Linked DNA regions of Rattus norvegicus. The protein of the gene in region 2 interacts with the protein of the main gene of each other region in a biochemical or structural test. Links are inferred from orthologs where the notes say so. Each region holds a gene or a part of one and is shown on either strand. Other genes may lie near its edges. The genes, in order: Jam3 and Tjp1.

The links.
Region 1: the proteins of Tjp1 (region 2) and Jam3 form a complex in vitro, tested with the Homo sapiens proteins (2 studies listed by BioGRID and IntAct, with this or other methods). The link is inferred for Rattus norvegicus from reciprocal best matches to the Homo sapiens genes TJP1 and JAM3.

Annotation. Positions count from the first base shown.
Region 1 is NC_086026.1:33,825,605-33,830,021, forward strand, and holds the start of Jam3 (junctional adhesion molecule C precursor), read right to left. Parts: upstream 2,848-4,417; 5' UTR 2,831-2,847; coding exon 2,755-2,830; intron 1-2,754. UniProt on the Homo sapiens protein: Junctional adhesion protein that mediates heterotypic cell-cell interactions with its cognate receptor JAM2 to regulate different cellular processes. Plays a role in homing and mobilization of hematopoietic stem and progenitor cells within the bone marrow.
Region 2 is NC_086019.1:128,322,339-128,326,815, forward strand, and holds the start of Tjp1 (tight junction protein ZO-1), read right to left. Parts: upstream 3,023-4,477; 5' UTR 3,021-3,022; coding exon of another isoform or gene 3,012-3,020; coding exon 2,964-3,011; intron 1-2,963. UniProt on the Homo sapiens protein: TJP1, TJP2, and TJP3 are closely related scaffolding proteins that link tight junction (TJ) transmembrane proteins such as claudins, junctional adhesion molecules, and occludin to the actin cytoskeleton.

The DNA.
Region 1 (4,417 bases), on a different chromosome or scaffold from region 2:
TCTTTCTCTTAAAAGTACAGGTACGACCCTGCCAATGACTGTGACAATCAAGTAATCAAAAGGAATTAAAATGCCGTAAAAGGGTAGAGGCTATCTGTTCAGGGCCCTGAGTTCAATCAAGCAATCAATCGATCCATGTAGGCCACTCTAAACCATGGTTCAGGAGTCCAAGTAAACGGAAGAATTGGAATAGTTGGTCCGGAATTCCTGTACGTTTCATCTCGCAAACTGTCTTCAAGAGTACAAACTGTTGTTCCAGTTCTAAATAAAGTCTTCTCTCTGGCACACCAAAAATTCTGGAAAGTTACTGACTTGCTACATAAGCACTCAAAAGGGGGAGGAGGCATATCATCTGTAAGGCTGAATCATGCCAGTCACCGATCTCACAAAGGAATATTATACATATACAAACAGTCCGTCTTTGAACGCGTGATAATTTCCCTAAACTGATCCATAATAAGAATTGCCACTGTCGAATACAATAAACAAGCGGCCAAAGACCGAACTGGCACAGACTAGAGACTTCTAAGTTTACCTCTGCATGCTTGTTTCTTCATACACAGAACAAGAGAACCAGTAACACAGTCTTATCAAAATGAAATAATTCACACTAAGTTGTCCTAATACAGCCCAGCAAAAAGCAATTACATGGAATGTTTACTATGTTTGAAATTACCTTTTTTTTTCTTTTTAATTTTTGAAATATGGTCTCTGTCTAGGCTGGCCTTGAAGAACTGGCAGTGGTCCTCCTGCCTCTCTCTGCCCCTCAAATCCTGGGATTACAGGCATGTGCCACCACATCCAACTTGGAACTTGTAAATTTTTTGTGGTCTCGCTCTGCCCCCAGGGTAACCTAGAACTCACTGTATATCCCAGAATAAAAAAGCTCACAGTGATCCTCCTGCCTCGGCCTTCACGGCATTGGGATTGCAAGCACTCGTCACAGCAGGCAGGAGCTGGCAATTTTAAACGGAAACGGTAATGATACCAAGTGAAAAGCATAATCCTAAAAATTAAAAAGGCACAGCTGTCCCCTATGAAGATGACATGTTTTTAAAGGTTTTACTTTTACTTATGTGTGAAGGGACCATATACATGTATGAATGTGAGTGCCTACAGAGCTCAGAAAAGCTTGTCAGATCCTCTGAGGCTGGACCCCCTTGCTGTTTGAGTCACCAACTTGGGTGCTATGAACAGAACTTGGGTCCTCTGCCGGCCTACCCCTCTGTAACCACTGAGCTCTCTCTCCAGTCCCAAGAGTACCTACAGCGTTCAGGTATACGTAAGCTAAAAGCTATATAATAGGAAACTCTTTCCTTTCCCTCAATACCAAGAAACCCACCAAATTAGCCCCACCTGAGGGGTAACATCCGCAATGAGCCCTTAGCAGTTTCTGCTTTTTACTAACAAATCACCAAGCAGGAATGTATCCCTGAAGTCAACTGCAAACTGTTTCTCCAATAAAAGCTGCAGATTTTCATGTTAGCAAATCTCTTCAACAATAGGGAGTTGTTCTGGTCTGTGAATAGGACGTGTCAGGACATGTCAGTGTGACGGACACTGTGGGAGCAGGACATTCCTGACACTCCTCTCTCCTGGCTAGCCTCTGCTCAGCTCTATCTCCCAACTGCATTTGGTTTTAAATTTTCTAAATCAAGCAAAATATATGGTCACAAATACGGGCTAAGGGTCATCCTTACTACAGAAGCCTGTTTCCAATATTTCAGCACCAGAACCCCTGTTTTCCACCACCACTCTGCGCACCCCACTAGAATAAGCATCAAACACAAAACCGCTTTGTTTTCTTGCCTGACCACCCCGCCTCCCAACAGGGCTTTGGTGTATTAATTTGTATATCTTGGAGAGCATCGTGGGCGGCAACAAATCCAAGGAACAAGCCAAGGGTTGAGGAGTGGTCCGGGTTGGGTTACCTTCTGAGTAAGGAGTGGAGTCTTATGCAACCTTAAGTTTGGCACTACTTGTGTGGCCCCTCAGTTTTGAAATTAAAAAAAAAAATTTTTAAGAAGACTATTAGCCTCTGAAAATTGGGTTCACAAACCAAGTTTGTGAACCCACTTCACTGAGCTGTTTTAAGAACTGAGATAATAGCTTCAAAGTGCCCTGTGGTATTTATGGAAAGTTAACTGCAAAGTAAACTTTACAGTGCTTTTGCCCCACAGACCAGGGAAATAGTGTCTCCCAGGAATTCCACTAGAAAGAAATGAGCAGAACTTTCAAGTTTAGCAGGGTGTTGGGATCAAAATGACCCTGGTGCTACTTGGGAGTCAGGGTCTCCACCACGCTGCAACAAAGGTGCTTATCCCTATGCAGCCCCCATCTCCGCACAAGGATGGCGGGCCTTGCCCAGTTCAGCTTCTTTGTTGACCCCAGCAGCTCCCGGGAGGACAGGCCTCTGGAGCTTCCCTAGCTGCTCGTCGTCCACGACTTCTGGGTACCACAATACTGATGGGGTGTTTTCTCCAGCAAGTTTTAGAGCCCGTGAGGCAGCTGCCACGGTCCTTCTAGAGGGCCGTGTCCCTGTCCGGGACCAGTCGCATCCACGCGGGTCAGCCTGAGACCGGACCCGACAGCCCGCTGAGCCGCGCCCGCCACGCTCCGGCAGAGGCCACCCCTCAGCTCCTCGGCCGGACCTGGAGTCCTGGGCGCAGAAACCGCTATTCCACCGCGGCCCGGGTCGCTCTGTCCCCATCGTCACAGACCACACTTCCCAGCCGCACTGAAGCGTCAACTCACCCCTGAAGAGCAGCAGCAGGAAGAAGTCGGGTAGCCGCGCGCACAGGCGAAGTCGCAGCCGCCGGCTCAGCGCCATGTCGAGGGGAATGTGAGGGGCTCAGGCTTGGAGCGTAGAACTGGCCTCGTGCGCATGCGCTCACACTGCTTAGACCCTGCGACCCGCCTCCAGTTTCCATAGCGACCACGCGGCCCGGCCTAGCCGGCACCATAGTGACCGAGAAAGCTCCAGTCTGGTTGCTATGGATGCAACGATGCTCAGCGCTTCCAGGTGCTACCTCTGTCAATGAACTTAGCCGGAGGAGAATTAAAAAGCGTGTCTGGGAAGGAAGCGGGGTAGATTTATGAAACTGTAGATTATCGCTACAGATCTAAGAAGGATTACTCCATTAAAATTTAGGCATGATGGGGCTGGAGAGATGGCTCAGCAGAGAAGAGCACCTGTTGCTCTTCAACGGCCCGGATTCCATTCCCAGCACCCATATTGTGGTTCACACCATCTTTAACTCCAGTTCCAAGCAATCTGACACCCTCTTCTGACCTCTGACGGCACTAAACGTGTCTGTGGTGTGCATACATACATGCAGGCAAAACACTCATGCACATGAAATAAAATAAACCATTTTTTATTAGAGAAATTATTTTACAAATAAAGATATGGCCATATAGTTTTTTTTTAAAACAGTAGTATTTTCACACCTGTAGGGCCCCTGATACCATATGTAATGAAAGGAGAAAATGCTGAAATCTGAATAAACATTAGCAAGATATACCCACTAAATAAATATAATAACATGCTATATAAGTATGATTCATTTCTCTGGTAGACCTGAAGCCTAATGGTGTCCCCAATAGTGTGTCCTACACAGTACAAGTGTAATTCTTGTCACTTGAGGGTTTTTTACCCGTTTTTTTAATTTTTTTCTGAAAATGTATTATATAAGTACACTGTAGCTGTCCTCAGACACACCAGAAGAGGACATCAGATCTCATTACAGATGGTTGTGAGCCACCATGTGGTTGCTGGGAATTGAACTCAGGACCTCTGGAAAAGCAGTCAGTGCTCTTAACCGCTGAGCCATCTCCCCAGTCTCCCATTTTTTTGTTGTTTTTTGTTTTGTTTTGTTTTGTTTTTGACAGAGTATTATTTATGTAGCCCTGGCCACCCTGGAACTTGAAGGCTAAATAGACCAGGCTAGTTTCAAATTCTCATAAGTCCAACTGCCTCTGCCTCGAAGTGCTAGTATTAGAAGTAAGCGCCACCATGTCTGGATTTTTTTTTATAATTTTAATTATATGTATGTGTGTATATCTGCATGTGAGTGTGTGAAAATAATTGTAGGTGCCCAGAGAGGCCAGAGGAACAGAGTTAACAAATAGTATGCCTGGTGTGGGTGGTGAGAACTGAAATTGGGTCCTCTGGAAGAGCAGCAAGTGTTCTTAACTGCTGAGCCATCTCTCTCTCCAGCTTTTTTTTTTCCATTTTAAAAATGGTTCATTATTTTATCATCATCATCACCATCACCATCATCATCATCATTTGTATGTAAGAGTAGGAGTGAGTGGCAGGAGATATATGCCACAATGTGCATGTGGAGGTCAGAGAACAATTTTGTGAGGTTGACTTTCTTCCACCTCTACGTGGGTTCCAGGGATCAAGTTCAGG
Region 2 (4,477 bases):
TCAAACATATTCAATATGACTGGCTATGTGGTTCAGCAGTCACCATTTCCTACTATACAGACAGACTCTGGGCTCAACCCCCAGAATCACTGGGACACTTAAGAATAGAGAATGAAGTGTGCACTAGTTATCTATCATTGTGGCAAAATATCTGACAAGAATCACCTTACTAGGAGGAGGATTGAGTTATTTTAGTCGATGGCATAAGAAAGGATACAGGCTAGCATAGTAGGAATTGCATGGTGATCGGAGTATAATGCAGCCAGTAGTCTTTTCAGTCAGGAAGTGGAGAGAGACCATGTACTCCACAAGACTATAGAAATAATACTATCCATGGGGAGGGTCTTCTCTCCTCAGTTAAACCTATCCACAGATATGCCTCATATTGTCTCTTAGATGATTCCAAATCCAGACAACTCAGCAATAAAAGACTGATCATTACAAGGTGCTCAGCATTAATATACAGAGAAATACAAACTAAAGGAGTCAAAATGAGATACTACTAGACATCTATTAGAATAGCTAAACTCAACAATTAAAACCAATAATATCAAGAATTGTGGAGAAGACTGACTCATACATTGCTGGTGAGAAGGCATATCCAGTCAGCCATGCCCTATACAATTAACAACTAGCATAAAACCCACTGTCATTCTGTTCCTATTTAACCATGAAAAGTTATGTTCATACAAAACTATATACTAACGTGGATTTATTCATACTCAACAAAAACTGTAAACAACCTAAATGTACCATGAATTAACTATTATACACTCATACAGTGGAGTGGAATTTAGCAATAAGCAGTAATTAGATATCAATATAAACAACATTATAGAGAAGTCTCAAATGCATTTATCTAAGCATATGAAGTCAGTCTCAAAAAGCTAAGTATTACACAAATCCATTTATAAGACAGTCCAGAAAAGGTCAAAGTTTAAAACGAGAGATCAGTGGCTCAATAAGGGGGCAGAATTGACCACAAAGAGATTTGAAGGAAAGTTTTAAGGTTATAGAGTAATTCTGCATTTTTTTAAAGATTTATTCATTTATTATATATAAGTACACTGTAGCTGTCTTCAGATACACCAGAGGAGGGAGTCGGATCTCTTTACAGATGGTTGTGAGCCACCATGTGGTTGCTGGGAATTGAACTCATGACCTCTGGAAGAGCAGTCGGGTGCTCTCAACCACTGAGCCATCTCTCCAGCCTGTAATTCTACATTTTAAGTGGGATATTAGTTATGTAACTATGTCAAAACTGAGAACTGTATACTAGATGAATATGAATTTACTGTTACATAAATTATACCAATAAAAATTATACTTCTCAATATCAAAAAAGATAACGGTATTAAGAAAAATAAACGTAATACATAAAATGCTACCAACATGATAGTCAAGCAATCTAAAACTATTTTATGTCTCATAGAGACCTGATGCAGACGCTACAAGCACAATGTAAGTATTAAGCACAATGAAACAACTGAAAGTTATTTCAGCTTTACGAATTAAAAGTTAAGATACATATTATTGAAATGATTTTTCTTTAGTGAGACAGAAAAACTGCATGAAAACTTCATTTGAATAATTAACTATCACAATGTATAGATTCAAATCCTCATGAAATAATCAGGAGTAAGTGTTCAGGAACATAATTTTCCCACATCCACTTGTCAATTGCTCAGAAATAACCGTATGTGAGGCATACACCATTTAAGTAGGAGAGCCATCAGTAGTCAGCTTTGCTTAACAGAAGAAAAAAGGCAAATTTAAGGAGCCATACTTAGCAGATAAAGCATGACTTGGTGTCATTAGCCCAATAGTATTTTAATTAATTTTATTTTTTTGAGACAAGGTTTTCTACATAGCCCTGGCCATCTTGCAACCTGTTCTGTAAAACAGGCTGAGCTGTGCTACAGCACACACAGCTAATGCCTTACGGCTTTTGTTTGTGTGTGTGTGAGGGTTCCTGCAAAGGCTAGAAGAGATTATCAGATCCTTTGGAGATGGAGTTACATACAGACAGTTGTGAGCAACCAAACATGGTACCATGAACTAAACTTGAGTCTTTTTGAAGAACAGGCACTATTTCCTACTGAGCCTTGTCTCCAGCTCCTAGCCTAACTTTAAATACATAAACACTATGGTTTATAACACAGGTTGGGTTTCTTCCCCATTTCTTCCCCAGAAAAGCAAAAGACCAGTATGATTTCAAAGCTCTTATTTCCACTAGGTTTATTAATTATCTGACCTGACTGTCTGCCATGTTTATGTTGTACATGCTTCAAATGAACAGCTGTCTTTCAAGAATGTGCCCTTGGGGTTGGGGATTTAGCTCAGTGGTAGAGCGCTTGCCTGGCAGACGTAAGGCCCTGGGTTCGGTCCCCAGCTCCGAAAAAAAGGGAAAAAAAAAAGAATGTGCCCTCTTCCCAATATACATACCAACCTGCTAAGTAGCTAAGGATAATTTCGAACCTCTGACTGCCAGGTTTTCACAGATGAGAGTGTCATGTGATTCTGGGGCTAGAAGGGGGTTTCCTGCATGCTACAACCAAGCATTCCATCAACTGAGCCATGTCCTAAGCCCTCTTTCAAGATTTTAGTAGGAATATAACTTATTATTAAGCCCCAAGCATACAAATATGCATATACAATCAGTTTATAATTTAATATATAATCTTTTATCTGATCATTCAAAATTCTAAGCAAAAGAACCACTTAATTTTCAGAGATTAAAAATAACAACTATACAAGAAATAACCAAAGGATATGTGAAAAAGTAATCACGTTCACTTCTGACCTTAATGAAGAATTTATTATAAATCTAATTTTAAACAAACGAATATAGAAAAAAATTCCCCTTTCTTTTGGCTTCCTGACATCTGGCTTTCCTCTATTGTTTTCAAAGCTGCCAGTATCCTGAATTATAACCCAGATTATTTACTGCCGCAGACACTCACCCTGTGAAGCGTCACTGTGTGCTGTTCCCATATAGCTGTTTCCTCCATTGCTGTGCTCTGATAAAGGAAAAGAAAACAAAGCGTTACCTTTAAAAGAAAAAAATAAGTTTTTAATAAAGTGAAAGAAGGCATTCTGGAAACAATTCAGTACAATAAAACACCAAGACTTACACTGCTAATATTAAAAATATTCTGGAAACCAGTTAATAACTTTGAAAGGGTTGTTTGTTTTTAAGAAATAGGAAACCACACACACAGGAACTCCCTTTGTTTTAACTTAATTTGGACAGATGCCACTCTACACTTAACACAGCAGAAACAAGTTAAAGCTAGCAAATTCAGCAACTTTATGCTTAACATCAAACAGACAAGAATAAAAGTTGCAACAGTTTTAAATTATCCAAGTGGACATTTAAGAGCATTTTTCATGTTGCATTCAGCAAGAAAAGGTAAAATACCTCTGAACTCAGTATTTGTAAATACATGTTCCCGAAAAGGATTTAGACCTCTTATAGGTTTAAAGTCACAAGCAATACTAGTCTATTCAGTTTCAGTTTTATGTCAGAATTACTTCCTCTAACTTCACGTTCATACAGAAAAAGGCTTTTGTTACGCATATCATAAACATGCATCTAAAAAAATTAAAACAAAACTCTCAAGGCCCCAATCCCCCTAGAACCATAAACAATCAATGTTAAGTTTCAGTGTAGATCCTAGCCAGACCACGGGGTAGCTGAACTTTATCTCCTACCATTAATCTCTCATGGAAATAATAAGATGACCTGAAAGTTAAACATTACAAATTTAAAAACAAATTTCCTTTGTATTTGGGTAAATTGCTCTTGGTAGTTTAAAGTAACATAGTCTCTCTTAACATTACTTTTAATAAATGTATTATTATGCCTAATATGGATTTCTTTCTAAAATTTTTTCTTTCAGGGTGGTGAAGTGACTGTGGCATGGCGTATTCAGATCCTCCTTCATCACCTAGCACTGTAACTGTCTTTCATCAGTACACTCTGTCTCTGTTACATGGTTATCAGTAGCATCACAAGACTATGCACATCAAGGTGCCACAGGCCTATTTCTCTTTTCCCAGAGCAACTTTAATTGAAGATTAATGCCACTTTAGAAAATGAACTGCTATAAAGAAAGCCTGCTTCCCTAAATTCAAAGCAACTAGATTGACTTTCCTCCCAAATGAATAAGGGACGAGAGAGAAAGGACCTCTGTGTTCATTCCCATAGATAAAAACTGCCAACTCCACCAGCTTTTGTTTCAACCTTCCAATCATGAGCAGCAAAACTTTCTTTTAATGAGACTTGCCTGGAAATAAAACTTTTTTTTTTAACACAAACTAACCAGATTTTGAAACACAGAAAGACAGACAGACAGACAGACAGGCTTGGGGGGAGGAAGGGGAAGGGAGGGAGTGGGACGAAGGGAGGGAGGAAACTGCATAAAGCCTCCTCCGTCCATGTGCAACACTGACAGTGAGGGCAGATGCACTAAAC